Linked DNA regions of Drosophila melanogaster. The protein of the gene in region 4 interacts with the protein of the main gene of each other region in a pairwise test. Each region holds a gene or a part of one and is shown on either strand. Other genes may lie near its edges. The genes, in order: Cse1, CG34056, TwdlY and Cpn.

Evidence for each region.
Region 1: the proteins of Cpn (region 4) and Cse1 interact in a two-hybrid assay, tested with the Drosophila melanogaster proteins (one large-scale study listed by BioGRID).
Region 2: the proteins of Cpn (region 4) and CG34056 interact in a two-hybrid assay, tested with the Drosophila melanogaster proteins (one large-scale study listed by BioGRID).
Region 3: the proteins of Cpn (region 4) and TwdlY interact in a two-hybrid assay, tested with the Drosophila melanogaster proteins (one large-scale study listed by BioGRID).

The regions. Positions count from the first base shown.
Region 1 is NT_033779.5:16,820,656-16,826,943, reverse strand, and holds Cse1 (chromosome segregation 1), read left to right. Parts: upstream 1-1,736; 5' UTR 1,737-1,877; coding exon 1,878-1,962; intron 1,963-2,444; coding exon 2,445-3,304; intron 3,305-3,375; coding exon 3,376-3,859; intron 3,860-3,927; coding exon 3,928-4,230; intron 4,231-4,295; coding exon 4,296-4,452; intron 4,453-4,508; coding exon 4,509-4,809; intron 4,810-4,882; coding exon 4,883-5,620; 3' UTR 5,621-5,788; downstream 5,789-6,288. Other genes in the region: mdy (midway), read right to left, coding at 228-461, 522-794, 855-1,165, 1,222-1,365, 1,426-1,534, 6,014-6,066, 6,135-6,226, 6,285-6,288; CG13280 (uncharacterized protein), read left to right, coding at 5,938-6,001. UniProt on the Drosophila melanogaster protein: Export receptor for importin alpha. Mediates importin-alpha re-export from the nucleus to the cytoplasm after import substrates have been released into the nucleoplasm.
Region 2 is NT_037436.4:894,413-897,887, reverse strand, and holds CG34056 (uncharacterized protein), read right to left. Parts: upstream 1,938-3,475; 5' UTR 1,774-1,937; coding exon 1,337-1,773; intron 1,281-1,336; coding exon 914-1,280; intron 859-913; coding exon 637-858; 3' UTR 524-636; downstream 1-523. Other genes in the region: CG34057 (uncharacterized protein), read right to left, coding at 1-405.
Region 3 is NC_004354.4:16,733,068-16,736,519, forward strand, and holds TwdlY (TweedleY), read left to right. Parts: upstream 1-1,879; 5' UTR 1,880-2,005; coding exon 2,006-2,749; 3' UTR 2,750-2,913; downstream 2,914-3,452.
Region 4 is NT_033777.3:12,162,358-12,167,886, forward strand, and holds Cpn (calphotin), read right to left. Parts: upstream 3,830-5,529; 5' UTR 3,764-3,829; intron 3,317-3,763; 5' UTR 3,194-3,316; coding exon 599-3,193; 3' UTR 530-598; downstream 1-529. UniProt on the Drosophila melanogaster protein: Plays important roles in both rhabdomere development and in photoreceptor cell survival. Might function as a calcium-sequestering 'sponge' to regulate the amount of free cytoplasmic calcium. It binds 0.3 mole of Ca(2+) per mole of protein.

The DNA.
Region 1 (6,288 bases), on a different chromosome or scaffold from region 4:
ACATGACACTTAAATTCATTAACAAATGCATTCAATAACAATCTATTTGTGTTAATCAGTACTACATGCATGTGCAAAAGTCATACAAAATATGCTTTGTAAATTGGCAATCACAAGTTTCCTTCTTAACTTGCATTCTGGCTTATAAATTACGAAAAGTACACGGACCCGACCGATGCAGATATTTCAGTGTTGCTCCATTTTTAAATGTTAACCTTTTTTGAAACCTAACTACTGTAGTCGGTGCCGTTGAGCGAGTTTTTGAAATGCTGGACGACATAATCGTGATAATAGGCCATTATGCACAGAGGCTGACCAAGAATAATGGAAGCCCACACGATTATATTGCCCATTCGGGGACCCAGTTTCTTTTCAATGGATTTGGATATGGCCGATAGGGGAATCTGACCCATCATGCCCATAAATGCCCAGATCTTGTATATTTGCAAAGGAACTGAAACCTGAAAATATAAATTATATTATTGTACAAAATTTGAAATTCTAAATATCAACCCTCATACCAAATATTCATGGAAGACGGCACTGAAAAGAAAGACAATAGTAGAGGCCTGTCTTGAGGAATATCCCATTTGGACCACAGGGATGTAGAGATGACGCACGCACCACCTATGAACTGGCATGTTCCATGTACGCCAGAAGGTGTCAATGTTATTCGCATTCCACCAATCACAATAAAAATTGCGATCTGCAAAATTCAGCAGTTCGCCGACCGCATTAAGAAAAGAGTGGAACATTAGATAGAAAAAGCAGAGCCAGCAAAGATGATTGGGTAGCTAATTAAAGAAAAATTATTAAATAATACTCAAACGTTTTATAATTTTCACTCTACCAACCGCAAGTTTAAGAAGTCGCTCAGTGGCTAAGGCCACGTCCATATTGGAGAACGGAATCAGGGAGTTCCGAACCGATGGAATGATCCATTGTTGAAACAAGGCCATAACCACATTCACTCCAATCACCACCTCCAATAAACGCTTCAGCAAAAAGCGTTTGCGCACGCGAGAAGTTCGCGGGAAATTCAACTCATAGCAGAGAGTGGGCGCGCAAAGGAAGTACAGGAGATCCTTGTATGTGAGATTATCAGGATATTGCACCAGCTTGGAAACGTCCTCGTCTTCTTCACCTCCATTCAAAACTCCTTTTTCTGGATGAAAGATGAATTTTTAATATATGACATTCCGTTGAGAGATCTCAACATACTTAGTTCCGCCAAAGTTATGCTTGGTCGACGCTCCCGCGGATTCTTTTGATAATAAGTCTGACGGCACCACATATTCGTCTGCACATAGGACCATAGTTTTAGGAACAACACAGAGTAAAAGAAGCAAACTGTTGAAGCGCCCACTAAAGATTAACAGATAATTAAATATTTTAAAATACACCTAAACTAAGTTAATTTCTCACTCAAACTAAAAGCATGTCCTTTTAGGTGAATTGTTACCACCGGTAGGCAAACCAAGACAACAATGTTCACTATCTGGATGAACAAGCCCAAGCCCTCTGCAATTATTTCCTGGAAAAGAATTACAAATTTGTTTTAATTTTTAATTCATTCAGTTGGTTTTTGAAAAAAAAAAACAGGAATTGATATCATATCAAATGATACTAAATTAGTAAAGTTCAATATGCGATATTTCTGATATGAACATTTAAAATCTAAAACCATCGAATCCTAGTAACAGTAACTATAAACAATCGATATCGAAAACTCGCCCTGAGTTCCATCCCCAGATCGGCGAGCATTGTGTGCGAAAACGAATTGCGATTTCATTTCATGTTGCAAGAGTGTGGAGGAACAAGCCACGAGTGATATAAATTAAAGCAAATAGGACCATCGAAAAGAAAATATACTCAAAATGGAAGTGACAGAGGCAAATTTACAGCTGCTGGCCGGTTATTTGCAGCAGACGCTGAGCGCCGATCCCAATGTCCGCCGGCCGGGTGAGTGTGTGTGTGTAGGAATGCATGTGCACACACACAACTGCACATGCGTGCAGGGGTGCTGATGTGTATGTGCGCGGGAAATGGTTTTTGGCGACGCCAAAGAAAAATACGGTTTTTAAATCCATTTGAAGTTGTCTACAAGTTTTCCCTATGTCAAAGAATTTATACAGTCACGCTTTCTATTAATTGAATCGAGATTAGCTGATCTTGATATGACTGTTGCCAAGCCACCTTTCAAAACCATAGACCTAGTTTTAGGATTATTTAAGGCATACCAAGCCTATAGACTCCGCACCACCATAACCAAGCTTTTGAAAATATTGTATAAAAAACTTATTGCTTGAATTGAAAATATGTTTAGTCTAACGAGAAACACTGTAAGCTCCTATCGGTTCCTTATATATTTGTATTTGCAACATCCGATTTACATAAGTACAATAGTTCTAACAAACACACCATTTCCTTCTCTACTTTTATAGCCGAAAAACTTTTGGAGTCCACGGAACTACAGCAGAATTACCCGATCCTACTGCTCAATCTGATAGACAAAGCCCAAATGGACATGACTACGCGGGTGGCGGGAGCCATTGCCTTTAAGAACTATATTAAGCGGAATTGGGCAGCCCACCTTGACAGCGACGGACCGGATCGCATCCACGAAAGTGACAGGAATACAATTAAGACCTTGATCGTTACGCTAATGCTCCACTCACCGGTGGCATTGCAAAAACAACTAAGCGACGCGGTCAGCATCATAGGCAAATATGATTTTCCCAAAAAATGGCCGCAGCTTATCGACGAGATGGTGGAGAGATTTGCCTCTGGTGATTTCAATGTCATCAACGGCGTTTTGCAAACCGCACACTCGCTTTTCAAGCGCTATCGTTATGAGTTCAAGTCGCAGGCTTTGTGGGAGGAGATCAAATTTGTACTGGATCGTATGGCTAAACCTCTGACAGACCTGCTCCAGGCCACAATGCAGTTGACTAAGGTGCACGAGAACAATGCCGGCGCCCTGAAGGTCATCTACGGTTCATTGGTCCTTGTGAACAAGGTGTTTTTCTCGCTCAACTCCCAAGATTTGCCGGAGTTCTTTGAGGACAATATCAATACGTGGATGGGAGCGTTTATTCAGCAACTAGCTGCGGATGTGCCATCCCTGCGTACTGCAGATGATGAGGATGCGGGTGTTCTAGAGCATCTGCGTGCTCAAGTCTGCGAGAACATTTGCCTTTATGCAAAAAAGTACGACGAGGAGTTCAAGCCATTTATGGAGCAATTTGTGACTGCAGTTTGGGAGTTACTGGTCAAGACAAGTTTGCACACCAAGTACGATTCGGTAAGTAACAGAAACCATACGCTTTCTTAATAATTATTTTTATAATTTTTCCATTCTTATTTTGCGCACAGTTGGTCTCCCATGCTCTGCAGTTCCTCTCTGTGGTGGCTGACCGCCAGCATTATCAGAGCATTTTCGAGAACCCAGAGATTCTTGCTCAGATCTGCGATAAAGTTGTCATTCCCAATCTAGACATCCGGCCCTCAGATGAAGAAATTTTCGAGGACAGTCCGGAGGAGTACATTCGAAGGGATATTGAAGGCTCTGACATTGACACACGACGTCGGGCGGCATGTGATCTGGTGAAGACTCTATCAATCAACTTTGAACAAAAGATCTTTGGCATTTTTGGCCAGTATCTAGAGAGATTGTTGACCAAGTACAAGGAGAATCCGGCTACCAATTGGAGGTCAAAGGATACGGCAATTTATTTGGTTACTTCGTGGGCATCTCGAGGAGGAACTCAAAAGCATGGCATCACACAGACCTCGGAGTTGGTTCCACTTCCCGAATTTTGTGCCCAGCAAATTATTCCAGAACTGGAAAGACCCAACAGTAAGCCCAAATAACCATTTTCCCAATTCGATCATCTTATATCTGCATTCTTCCAATGCTCTTTGCAGTTAACGAGTTTCCTGTTCTTAAGGCTGCTGCAATTAAGTATGTAATGGTGTTCCGCAGCATTTTGGGTCCCCAAGTCTTAGCAAGCTGCCTGCCCCAGCTAATTCGACATCTCCCCGCCGAAAGCTCTGTTGTTCATAGCTATGCTGCTTGTTCAGTGGAGAAGATCCTTTCTATGCGGGATGCTAGCAACGCGATCGTTTTTGGTCCTCAGATTTTAGCACCTTACACAACTGAACTAATTAGTGGGTTATTTGCGACCCTTTCACTCCCAGGTTCCGGTGAAAATGAGTACGTAATGAAAGGTGAGTTTGGGGGACTATCTCATACGTTTCTAATATGTTAACAAAACTCTAATTATTATTATTAGCCATTATGCGAAGTTTTTCGGTCTTGCAATCGGCCGCCATGCCCTTTATGGGCGTCGCCCTTCCACGGCTTACCGAGATTCTCACCCAAGTGGCCAAGAATCCATCGCGTCCGCAGTTCAACCACTATCTTTTTGAAACGCTGGCTCTGTGTATAAAGTAAGTGTTATGCATTTTGGTGGTAAAGAGCAATAACAAATTTTCTTTTTCCCTAGAATTGTTTGTCACGCCGATTCCTCGGCTGTGAGCTCCTTTGAGGAGGCATTGTTCCCAGTTTTCCAGGGCATCTTACAGCAGGACATTGTCGAATTTATGCCCTACGTCTTCCAGATGCTTTCTGTGCTGTTGGAAATGCGCGAGGGCACTGGTACCATACCGGAACCCTATTGGGCTTTGTTCCCCTGCTTGTTGTCACCAGCTCTGTGGGACAGGACGGGCAATGTCACACCATTAATTCGCCTGATTTCTGCTTTCATCAAGCAGGGATCTGCTCAGATTCAAGCCTTGGGTAAACTGGTAAGTTATATTATACATCACAAATTTTATTTTACAGAGTCCAATCTTATGCATTTTTCAACATATATTTCAGAGCGGTATCCTCGGAATATTCCAAAAGATGATTGCCTCCAAGGCTAATGACCATGAAGGGTTTTATCTTCTCCAGAATCTGCTTTCCTACTACCCTCCCGCTGAGATTCAAACTAATCTTCGTCAGATCTTTGGCCTGCTCTTCCAGCGATTGTCTCTCTCAAAGACTCCGAAGTATTTAAGCGGCATCATTATCTTCTTTAGCTTTTATGTGATTAAGTTCAGTGGCAGTCAGATGGCTCAATTGATAGATGAGATTCAGCCTAACCTATTTGGCATGCTGCTGGACCGCGTGTTTATCACCGAAATGGGCAAGATTCCCAAGGAACAGGATCGCAAAATGGTGGCCGTGGGTGTCACTAAGCTACTTACAGAAACTCCTGAGATATTGCAGCAACAGTACGCTACTTTCTGGCCACGACTGCTGCATTCTCTAATCGATCTTTTTGAACGACCACCAGAGAAATTGATGGGTCTCGAAATAGGAGAGACAGCTGGAGTTGCCGAAGATCCCGATGCGGGCTATCAAGTGGCATTTGCCCAACTGACTCATGCCCAGCCCAACCAGCAGGATCACCTGGCTGAGATTAAGGATGCTCGCCAGTTTCTAGCAACTTCGCTCTCTAAGTTTGCCCAGGCTAGGGCAGGAGAATTTTCCACTTTGTTGTCGCCCCTGGAGCCGGAGTACAAGCAAGTACTCCAGAAATATTGTGATCAGGCTGGAGTACGCATTGCCTAAAGGAATCGACCGACTTTAAGCTCATTCATCGCAATCAAACCTCGCCATACATTCGAAAATTTATGCATACACGCACTCGATCACTCATTGCATGCCCAGTTTATTGTCATTTAAAAATTGTATCTAATATATGTAAGTTTTGTAAACAATTAAAAATTATGTTTTCCGAAACTAGTGTGTTTCAACTGCGATAACTTCTGAATATTTCATACTTTTCTCTCTGATAAACAAATCATTTCTTGTCAAACACCCTTCACTCAATTTCAAAATTGTGAATTTAGAATTAACTAGATATTTCGAAATTTATCATATAAGCCATGTTCAAGCTAATAACGTATTTCAAGTCACGATCGAAGAAAATAGGCGTGAGATGCTATCAAAGTAAGTACTTACCATGGCTAGACCCTTCTCCACAGCCAAACAGAGCGAGATATGCACTAAAGAGTCTGTAAAATATGGTGAGACGAAGGTTATCAATTTCGTTTGCGTAATCCTTGATTTTGTGCGTGCTTACAAATGCTCAGGATTAGGGCGTTATGTCCTTCGCCTTCGTTGTGTCCGCTTATGAAGAAGAACCAATCCAGTGGATTGATGCGAATGCCATACCTAAAAAAATAATGAATTAGCTAAAACTTGTATTTCTACTCAAGATCATCGTAGTTACTTTA
Region 2 (3,475 bases), on a different chromosome or scaffold from region 4:
ATTCTTTCGGGATTCGGATTTGTTTATCTGGAGTATGTTCAGATTGGAATCTGTTTGGCTGCTCATAAAGATCAGCTTATTGCAACGCGCTCCCCATGTCCGATTTACCAACGCCGCCTTTGTGGCATGTGAAGATGGCATCGTGAGCACTAGGCAGAGTATGCGCACCTCCCTTCTCAGCCAGGTAGCCAGGTGCTCCTCCGAGGCCACTGGATACTTAAGTAGAGCAGCCTTCTCACTCGCCCGCAAGTCATTATTCCTCCACAGCTTCAGGTAGCCTATAAAATCGGTGAGTCGAATGCCCAACATAATGCCTAAGACGAGGAAGATGATGTTCCGAATCATTACCAGGATCATTGTATACTGCGATTGCAGTATTTTCTTTGGTGAGAAGAGAGATCCCATGCTGTGTCCAATTGGCGCAGCAATTTCGTTTATACATTTCGATTAGAGAGTCCGTGAAACAATACAATTTGTTCGTTGGTAAACTGCTGATGGCAGTCAGTCACAAAGTCTTGAAAGTATAAAAACAATTGTTTTCTATTTAATGATATTCTTAAGAGTTTAAAAACTAATTCTATTTGACTGTCGGTATGTTAAAATGAGTCTTAAATATGTACTAATATACTATATATATTATTCTTGTTTCAGCCACGCGTTTGAATTCGTGCTATTTTCTTGAGCCCACTGATTCAGCTGATTCTGCAGTTCATCGGGACCCAGTCGGGGTGGCAGCGTTCTCTGGGACAAGGGAGTTCCAAAAATGTGCAATCGATATAGCAGGTATTCATACATTTCGAACTCGTGGATTTTGACATAGTGAAAGCTGATTCCCGAAGTCGAGCCAGTTTCATTCACCTGAAACAATAATATATTAGAAATAATGTAGTACTTTCTAAGATATTATACATACTGGTTCATAAAATGTCAGTTTGGGCAGCCAATTGTCGGTGGGAAAGGTAGGCAGCATAAATTTGAGAGACAAGGGCAGAAACCGATCCCGGCCTTCCTCATCCCGCGAATCCCCTGCAACTACTCCCACATTTTGCAGGCAGAAGCCAATCTGCCTGTCCTCTGAATTGTTGTTAATCGGGCAGAATTGGCTGTTGTTGAAGGCAAAGAGATTGAGCCGACGCAGTGCATCCCGACTCATCACATAGCCAGCTCCTCCGGACATGTAGCCCTGCGGAAAGGTGGTGCGGAATCTGTGGCCAAAGTAGAGCGCTGCCTCGGGATCATAGGGATAGAGCAGGAAGCGCAGGTTTTCCATTATCACAAAGCTAAAATTGGGTGAAAATGAATATGTGATTTTGGAACTCGGTATGTTTTCACTTACGTGTCATCATCTGCCTTGAGGAACCAGTCGTAGTCTTCTCCATGGTTCCGGTACACATACTCTAGGGCCTTCCTCATTTTGAGATACAGGTTGTTTCGATCCTCGGGCACGCCCACATCAATGACGCCCAGTTCCCGATCCTCCTGGCTGCTGATGAAGATCAGCTTGTTGCAGCGCCTGCCCCATGTGCCCTTAACTCGTCTCACTCTTGATTGGTGATTCTTTGGCAGGGTTAGCACCATGCAGAGTACCCGTGTCTCGTTATGGAGCCACAAGGCCAGTTCCTCCTCCGTCGCCAGCTGGCTGGCCCCTTCCTCCAGCTGCGTAATGGACGTGCTGGCGAACTGACTATCGGTCAGCTGAAAGTACTCTAAGAAGTCTGTCAGTTGAATGCCAATGATGAGGCCCAGCACCAGGCAGAGTATATTGCGATACATGGCGAGAGTGTTCCTGGCTGCAACTAACCAGCTCCAGCTGGCATTTGGCGATTCCGCTGTGGGGAAATGGAGGGCACTGGAGTGGAGCTCTTACAAAACGAGCCGGGGGCACAGCGAATGCATTTCGCGGTGTCGCTCATCGCCGCCAGCTGATCGTCGACTGCTCGATGGGCTCACATCGCAAATGGCTTAAAGAGTCTCCCCCAACTGAGAAAGATGTGGGCAATTAAAGTCACTGAAAGAAACAATTTCATAGTAGCTTCCAACAAAAAATAAATCATTTTTATAAACATAATATAAGAAACGGAAACAATTTGTTGAAGGCTGCAAACCAAAAACGATTAATAATCAGAAAAAAAACATATTTAAGTTGCCGCATAAGATTTTGTTTCAAGTGCACCTCTCTCAGCCCGGCCAAAACGAGTTTTCAGCTTTGGCTTGTGATTGGCATTTGTAATGAGTCACACGTGGTGCGGTGAGTTCGTCTTCGCTGCCATGTCGCGTCGGTCGTCTCTTTCAGCAAATCTTTCCAATAGTCAACAATAGGAAACCAAAACAAGACTAAATTTGGTCCAAAGTCGCTGACAATTATCGGCTGACTAGCCGCCGAATGGTTTCCCTTTCCCTTTCGTGGGCCAAGAGCATCCGGAGGAACGCACCGGCATCTATTTTTGTGGCCAACCGGTTTGGAACCTCCTCTTGACCCACTCCGGCACAAGTTAGCGCCTCTCGCCCACTGAAATCCCAGTTAATCCAGAGCGAACGGCTTTGCTTGTGGCAATGAAATCACTCGTTTATTTTATTGCTAGATAATGTTCATTTCATTTCGGTCGTTTATGATTTAGCTTTCCATGGTACATATCCGCTTGTTATGTTTACTTAGTTTAACTGAATTCGCTTTACTTTGTAGATTTACTTTAGCATGGTTTCTTTAGACTAAATGTGGACTAATTATTTCACTTCAGATTGTGTTGTTAATCGTTTCGCATTGTTAAACATCTAGTGTCTTGTTATTCTTTGCTATTGGGCCTTTCGCCGCCTTTCATACACTCATCTCTGGCCTTAGAAAACTTTGTTACAAAACTTGTAATATTAGTTTGTCAGCTGGCTCAGCGTACTTGGAGCAACTCTATTACTTCCTCCGATTACATGCTAATCCTCGTTATACGTTTAGTAAGTGCACTTGCCAATTTCTGTTTATCGGAGGAGCCTCTGGTCAGAGGCTTCAAAAAAAAGGAAAAGGTTGCGAAATAAACAAAAATTGTCCGGCAAACTTAATTACAACATTCGGGGTGACGATACCTCTTTATACCTGGCCATACGCAAAAAGGGATTATTACTTATGTTAGTTAGTTACACAGCCTTAGAAACTACTTAAAACTAAAACATACATTAATCGGGGACAACAGAATGTGACTTGGGTATTACAAAAAATATAAAAGTTTCAAAGAAAAATCATGTTTTGGTTATACGAAAAATTAGGACACAGAACAGTGCGTTTCAAGACCATCAGGCAGTTGGAGCTTACAAAAAAAAAAGATAATTGGTTAAATAAGATATAAATTCAGTTACCAATTCCATTTCCGCAATGGCTTTAAAACACACTTTTCGTATTGGACATAACAATAGGTGCTGATAAACATACATTTTTTTTTGGAGTATTCCACAAATTATATAACAGTTACAAAAAAAATAAAATATT
Region 3 (3,452 bases), on a different chromosome or scaffold from region 4:
GAGGGTATTAAATAAAAATTAGCCATACTAAATATATTATGCGGCAAATGCGGTCACGCCCGCAAAACAAATATATTATCAATTACAAATGGGAGGAGGGCAGAAATCAGTTACCAACTCCCATATCTCTTGCTCTCTCTCGGAAATCTGGCGATCTGCATATCAATGGGCGGCGGCGGCCAGATCTTTTGCATAAAGATAATCACACCTACTAAATAAAACCTACCGCGACGGACGGTAGCCGCCAAGAGCCGAGGTCCGAAGAAGATTGAGATCGAAAGATCGAAGATTTGTCCCTCGATTCGATTTCTATTACTGTCATCATCAATAAAATGTTACATAAATTTTCAGCACAGCAAGCGATCGCGATCGCGATCGCAGGTGGTTATAAATATGGAATGCCTAATTGATAATTATCATTTTGTTCGATTTTCCATAATCCACGGGCGATATGCGATCTATGCGATCTATCTGTGATCGCTGATCGGCTAATGGCTAAATTAGTCTAGTCGGATTGAAAATCGATTGGAAACTGTTAGAATACGGATTACTATCCATTCCATTGTTTGTCACCGCAAAGTGTCAATCGGTTTTATGCATTTATGCTCTGTCATCAATCTTGGCGGCCATAAATCCATTCAAAGGCATTATTCAAATATGCTCGATGAGTGCAAATTATGTTTTATGTGTTTATTTTGGCAATATTTATGCGACCTCCAAAGCGACGAGTGAATGTTGGTTCGCGTCTTGGCTTCTCAGCTGACTCACCCAATGGACTTTGCGTTGGGGTCACCATTTATGGTGACAAAAATATCGAAGCACCAGTCGAAATCGATGGGAAATTCCGGAAAGCGAATGAGATGGCTAATCGGAGCGGTAATGATTTGATCTTTTAAGGCAACGGAAATTAAATGGGACTCAATTCTAAATCAATACCATTTTCATTTTTCATAATATATAATATAATATAATATATGTAAAACTAAAGAGTTGCAAAAGAAGTAAATTTGAATTTATATATTTGTATATTTCTGTTACAAGCAAATATTTTTTCATGCAACTGTTTTGTTTTCACTTAATTATCAAGCGTTATAGGATTATTAAAGCAATAGTTTACATTCGTATAATGTGCTAAACATGATTTTAAAAGGAACTTCTGGATAATAAGGTCCTTATTAGCATATATATAATATATAATATCACATATAATATAGAAATAAATGTTAGCCTGACTGGCTTGCAGCCGTCTCCAAATATTCATTGATCAATCCAACTGTTATAGATATTCGCAAATTAATTGATAGGCCCGAAACTAATGATAGACGTGGGCAAACAAACTAAAAAAAAAAAAAAAACCCAGCAAACGTGTTTCTGGACAAGATTAATGCCGCCAGCGGTGATGAGGTGCCGTTTAATGAGATTCGCTAGGCCCCCATTCAATAGTTTCTTTTTTGCATGTAAGATAGGTATATATCAGCTAGTTATGAAGCCGTATATTTAGATATTTGCTAATCCATCGTGAATGCCCAGCCGACCGCCAGGGTCACCGCACCGCTGCGGCCCAGTCAAGTTCAATGTCAGAGAAGACTCTTTGTCCAATGGTTAGTCCAAGCTATGGTGGTTTCTATTGCTGTTGCTATTTCGGCTGCGTTCGTTCTAATTTGAATAAATTTTAGGTCAGATCACAAGGCGTATGCCATGCCAATGGATCCATAGGCCCAGAGAAGACGCTGATGACGATGCTTTGGATATCGAGAGCAGCGGCGACGATGATGTTATATGCGGCATTTGCATTTGCATAAGCGGCCAAACAGCGACGCCGACAGAGGAGGCAGCCATTTGACAATCGGAGCATATTTAAGACAAGTGGAGCGGCCCAAAATGCAATCATTGCCTCGCAGCAATTCGTCAACGAAGCATCCCAAACAGGAGAACTACCATTAAGGATTACAAACACTCGAGAAGGGATTACACATATAAAAAAAAAAAAAAAAAAAAAAACACCATGTTTGTCCACCAAGTGCTCGTGAGCTGCCTGATCCTGGTGGCTTTGACCCAAGCCCGTCCTCAGTACGGCTACGAACAGCCCAGTTCGGACATCTTCATCGGCGGTGGATCGGCGCCCGTTGGTGGTGTGGGCATCGGTGGCTCCTCCGGTGGCGGTCTGGTTAGCATCCAGCCACACCGTGGTGGCGACAAGTACCTGCCGCCGGCCAGCACCACCCTGGCGCCCATCATCAACAAGAAATTCTATCTGGTTTCCGCACCCGAGGATCACAGCAACGATGGCAAGGTGAAGCATCTGGTCTTGGGACGTCCGCAGAAGAACTACCGCGTGGTGTTCATCAAGGCTCCAGCCGGCGATAATGCCAACGTGAAGTATTCCGCCGAGTTTGCGCCACAGGAGGAGAAGACCGTCATCTATGTGCTCAGCAAGAAGGATAACGATGTGGACGCCAGCGATATTGCCACGCCCGCACCCACGCAGCCCAGCAAGCCGGAGGTGTTCTTCATCAAGTACAAGACCGACGACGAGGCCAAGCAGGCGCAGCAGGAGATCCAGGGCCAGTACGACAAGCTGGGAGGCACCAACGAGTATCAGGAGGACAACAATGCCCCCATCACCTCGGTGATCGGCAGCCTCGATGGCCTGAATCCCGATGGTAGCTACAACTACCGCCAGATCGCCAACCGTCCACCAGCAGTGGTGCCCAACTCGCAGTATCTGCCCAGTTTGCTGAAGCACTAGAGGATGTCGGTGCATCAGTAGATCATCTCTCCATCATCTAAATCAGAAAACAAAACACCCATTCTCGAACCCTGTTGTGTTGTATATTCTTAAGAACGCCCTCAATATTTTTTTGTATTTTTTTTTTTGTTATATCGAACCGTTGTTAATAAAAAGCTTATATTAAAAAAAAAAAATCATAAGCAATGTGTTTAAGTTTCTCAAAGAAATCTCGATTGCCATTTCTTTTATCAAGTGAAAATTAATGAAAAGATGCTTTGGAAAAATCTTCCAGTAATTTCCAATGTTTCTATTTTTTCAAAAATCTCACATTTCTTGTTTCACCAGTCCAATAAAACCATATGTAAAAATAGGTATGAAAAAAGTCAGAAGGTCAGTCATTTAAAAAATTAATAAAAATCGTATAAATAAAATTGAAATGTCTCATCGGCGCAATTAAATTAAAAACGAAATCAAAATCCAAATCAAAGTCAAAGTCAAAAATAAATCGAGGCAGAAACAAAAATTTTAGCTTTGTTTTCCCCAGATATTCAAATCAGCAGACACATTTCAATATATGTCCAAATCCAAAACCAAATCGGAATCGGAATTGGAATTGGAATCGGTCGGTATTCACAAATCGAAGCCAAAGCTGCCGTTAAAATTTCCAACAGAAATTAGCTTAAATGAAGTGAGAAATCAAAATAAGCTCATCAAATTTAAT
Region 4 (5,529 bases):
CCTTTCGACCGTTTTTACGACTCTCGATTGACTTTTGCGTCAGGACAGATCAAAATAAATTCCATGGGCTCATTTTTAAATGAAATCAATAAGGGATAGTCTTTATATTTAAGCTTTTGAGGAAGCGTAAGCAGGAGCTTTAAATTAAATTATTCATTGATAAATTTCCAATTATCAGAAGTCGCCAGCTTTCTCGATACAAAAGCAGAGAGGTAACTCTAATTTATGTCGTTTTTTCGCTGACAAAGTGTGGGAAATATTCATTCATTTTCCCCGTTTACAATCGTCTGTATTTATGTCCCACTCCCTTTTGGAATGCTAATTTCCACGGGAAAATTTTCGACGCGCTTGCAAATTAGGTTCTGTGGCTGTGGCTTTGGAACCAGCTATGCTGATATGTCCAAAAAGTGGAAATGGTAGATTTGTTTTGGTTGCATTAATTTTGCACGGAACAATTTGTGACAACCTAGCCATACCTTGGCTCTTTTAACCCTATTATGAAAAGGAAATTAGTAATAAATTTGTATATACTTTAAAATTGGTGAAATAACGCTTTATTAGTAGCTTTACTTTACATGATCCAGGCTTTAAACTTGAGCTAATTGGATTTGGGAGGACCAAGAATTTTCTCGATTTCGCAGAGTCTGTCCATTACCTGCTGATTTCTGGCCTTTTGATCCTTTAGCTTTTCTCCAATGGCATCCAGGGTGGCTGCAATAGCCAATAGCGAAACATCGGTGGTCTGAAGATCTCTTAGCAAAGGAGTTATCTTTGCTACGGGAACGGAATCTGAGGGTGACGATGATTGTTCGGGGATTTCCGAAGTGGGAACCTCTTCAACTGCTTTCTCTGCAATGGTGGGAACAACTTCAGATATTCCCACACTAGTATTGTCTGGGTTGTCCCCGGCCGTAATTGGTACTTCGGCAGCTGGAGCTTCAGAAATCACTGGTTCTGCGTATTTTGAAACCTCCGGGACTGGTGCCTCTATTGGGATGGTGCTCTGTTCAACAATGACCTCTGCCGGCTTTGTCTCTGTCTCTGGAATTTCAGCTACTGCGATCTCTTGAGGAACCGGAGGGTCAATGAGCGGTATGGCAGTATCAGATACTTCTGCAGCAGCAGTAACGATTTCAACAGCGGGTGTGGTGATTTCGGTAGCTGGAGCACCGTCATTAATGTTTGCAACATCTGGTTCCTGAGTAGTGACAGGAGCTTCAGTTATGGCAGGATCCAGGACTTTTTCGGCTACAGGATACTCAACCGTAGTTTCTGGAATCGATGTTGAAGTTTCTGTCACCGGCACCTCTACAGCATCCACTGCTTCCTGGATTACGACAGGTGCCTCCACAGGTATGGGTTCTGTAGGGGTCGCTAGGCTTGGTTCCGGTTCAGGTATGGGCTCTGGAGCTGTAATTGGAGCGACAGCCACTTCTGGAGAGGCAACTGCTTCATTTGGCGGCGGTAATGAGGTCTCTGGTATTGGTGAAGATGTTGATTCTGCAGCTTCAACAGCTGGCACGGATGTAGTTTGTTCTAATAAATCCGGAATAGGAGCTGGTGGTTCCACAGGCTCGATTATTAAATCCGCAGCTGCCTCAGGTGGAGCAACGTCTGCAACTGCAACTTCTGTTGTAACTTCGACAGGCGGTGCAACTGGCGTTTCAATGGCAGCTTCTGATAGTACAGAAACATCGATAGGTTCCGTAGGCACTGCCGCAGGTGGTGCCGTGGTCTCGGGAACAGAAGCCGTAGTTGGTGGAGTAGAAACGATGGGAGCAGCGGCAGACGGAGCTTCAGCAGGTGCATCAGAGGGTGCGGCGATCACAGGAGCAACTTCTGGTATATCTAAAGCTGCTATGGTCACTGGTGCTGATGCTGGTGCTGGTGTCTCAGGAGTTTCTTCAGCCACTACAGCTGGTACAGGTTCGGCAGCCACAGGAGGGAGAACAGGTGGCGCTAAGTCGACAGGAGTTTCAGCAACAGCACTAGGAACGGGTGATGGAGCGATCACCGGAGGTAATTCGGGAACAGCAGATGCAGTGACATCCGGATCCGTTACTGCTAGTGTTGCAGGAACTGGTGTCGTGGCAACGACTGGCGCTGGTATTGATTCTGCGGCCACAGGAGGTACAACGGGTGGTGTTGTCTCAGCAACAGCAACTGAAGCAACTTCTGGGGTTTCTGCAACAACAGGTGGTGCAATGGTTTCTGGCTCTGGGGCTGGAGTAGGAGGTGTAGCTACAACAGTATTCGCAGCAACTTGGGACTCGGCAACGACTGGAGCAAGGGCTGGCGTTTCTGGTGCAGTTGTTAGAGTCGCAGCAGCTACCGGGGGCTCAGTCGAAGCACTTACAGGAGCGACCACTGCGGTCTCCACAGCTGGTGCAACCGACACATGGGGGGAAGCTGCAGCCGGAGCAACGACTGGGGTTTCAGTAGCCGGTGGAGCAACGACCACTGGCTCAGCTGCAGCTAGTGGTTTCGTTGCCACGACGGAAACCTCGGGGATGAGAGGTGCAACGCACTCCGGTATGGTTGCAACCGGAATCTCAGCAACAGGTGGTGGAGCTGGAGTCTCGGCGACGACGGGGGCAACTGCAGGAGCAACGGCAGGCGCAAGAACTGGGGCAACAACAGGAACAGCAGCTGGTACAGCAGCTACAGGTGCTGCAACGGGAACCGTGGTGTTAGCGGGAACCACAGGTGGTGTGGCGATCACAGGCGAAACAACGGGAGTCACGGCAGCCGGAGTGGGGGCAGAGGCAGCAACAGGTGGTGTCGCTATCACAGGCGCAGCTACAGGAATTGGGGCAACAGGAGTGGGTGTTGCAGCAACGGGAGGTGCCACTGGTGCTGAAACAGCGACCGGAATCTGAGCAACAGCAACGGGTGGTGTTGAAACTGGACTTGCTGCCGGCGGAGTTGGAGCTGCAACAACTGGAGGCGCCACAGATGCGACAGGAGCGACGGATGCGGCAGCAATTGGAGCTGGAGCTGGAATAGTAACTGTTGCCGGTTGCACACTTGCAAGGGTGGGCGGTGGAGCAACTGGAGTGACTGCAATCGGTGCCGCTGGTGCGGGAGCCACTGCCGCAGGACTTACTACTTGGACAGGGGCAGCCACTGCTGATGGCGTCACAGGCGCAGCAACTGGTGCTGAAACAGGCGATGGAATGGTTCCTGGTTCCATGTCTATCCTTTGCCCACTTTCACATAAAAGTTAATCCGTTTTTTCCTTTTGGGCGGATTGTGCCTTGTCCAATGCTTAGTTGCAAAAATGTTTCATGGCCAGCTTTTCATGGTCAGAAGACAACTGAAAACAGAGGAATGAAAACGAGAAAAACATGAGACATGGCAAGGCTGGATCTGACCATGATTTAGGCCATTGTCTTAAATAAAATTAAATCGATGAGAAACCACGTAAGAATGAGAAAAATAAGAATAAAAGTTCTCCGGAAAATACTGATTCAAATATCTATACAATAAAATTACATTGATTAAATGAGATTAGAATTGTCTTCACTACATGAGAAGTAAAAGTAAGAGCAATTGAGTTAACTAGTCTCTTGCTTCTGACGTCTATTCGAAATATATTTTTCTTTTACAAAACTGTAGTTGCTAAATTATGTAAGAGAAAACAAGGCACTTGCACAATTTCGTTCAAAAATTCGAAAATAAGCGGTCAGCAATGAAATGGTCAACTATTAGGAACTGCCTCTTAGGTAAGTCAATCCTTTTGAATATTTTCAATATTATTAACCAATTTAATTTGTTGAATAGTTTTAAACAGCGACCGACTTGCCGATGAGAAAAACGGTGTTTAACTGGCCCGTTGACTCAGTTTTCTTGGACATTTTTACCTCTTTTCATTGGTTTACCTTCGGTCAGAAGTCCGACAACTGCCCATTGAGCGCAGAAAGTATACGCATAGTTTCAAGTGCTTTTTGCGTTTTTCCAATTCCCAGACACTAAGGTGCTTATCAGCTGACCTTAGCCACATATTAAATTTGTTCCGGCTCGCACGAGGAAACATTTGGCGCTGAAAAGTGTGCTACATGCGTTGGCGCCCACCACTGCGTATGAGTGATATTCGCATATTATTCGATTATCGATTCCGTTCGCATCTTGCCAAATGCATCGGGTAGATAAATCGGGGAAACGCTTTCAAGAATTTATTCGCGATCCAGTGCATATCGCTTACCACTCGCTTTGTCAGCTGCACTCGCAGACACATAACTGGTTATTTACACAATACTGATTACTTTGCCGTATTTGCAATGTAGTTGTCAACAAAATGCGACAGGTTCCCGCGCTGCCCCGCACTGCCCCGCCCTCACCCGACCCTCCACAATCCATTTGCTATCGTGGCCCATTCAATGTCTGATGCAATGACAGTTGACAAACTGCCACTACGTAGCCGTTGGATCGGAACACATTAGCTCGGTGGAAATGTAATCGCAAAGAACTAAGAAATAAATCTTTCAATTTTTCGAGTGAATGCCGGGTAGGAAGTGCAGCCAAATGTAAAGCAATCCACAGAGGCAGCCGGCAGTTGCACATGCCGTCCGTTGGAGCAAGTGTAATGTGATCTGCGTACAATTTGCAGGCGTCGTTTTAAAAAGTCCAACACCAACACGTCCACCTACACCTTCGCCTCACTTGCCCCTCTGCTGGCCGGGAACCGAGCACACTTGAGACTTTTGCAAATAGTTTTTCCACATATGAACAGAAAGAATTTTTCTCGCAGGATGGAAAATAAAAAGAGTTGCGAACGAAAAGAAAAGAAATACATACATATATATAAATAGACGAGATGGGAAAACGCTTATATGGAAATGATTTCACTGGAGAAGTGGAGGAGCGATGCGGAGTAGTTGTGAAGATTGAATTGGCAGTTCAATTTCACGTATTATTGACATTTAAGCGTAAGCATTTGAATATAAACTGAACCCGGCTCAGGGATTGAATGCTTGGAAGGCCGAGAGCGAGTCCTTTCACAGGATGCACAGACATTGGCTGCCTATTATTTTCTGTGCGATAAATCAATCGCATGAAGCAAAATGCAGAGAAAATACCAAGATAAGTGGAAATGAAATTACATCAAGCATACAAATTGTATTTATACTTTATTCTATCTCCTCCTGCATCACTGAACTCGACAATTGATCTGAGCTGCGAAGGAGTTTGCGTACCTCAACAAATACATTTGATTTTCTTCGAATCTGTGGTCACTGATGAGTGATCTCAAATTGTAATTGCCAGCAATAGAATAGAAGTTTTTGTCATATTTTACAAATATTTCTCAAACAATGTTTTATACCGAAAAACAATACTCGGATGAAATCCATTCCCTGAAACAATGGATATTGCATTCCTGGCTATTTTCGAAGGTGAGGCGATCAACTACAAAAAAAAAAAAAAAACATAAATCAGCGCAGCGTATACACCTAATTGCCGTCATTTTGCACGCACTGTAAGAGTGTGGAAAGTCGGGCCCGTGTGCGATTGGAAAAACCAAATACAAAT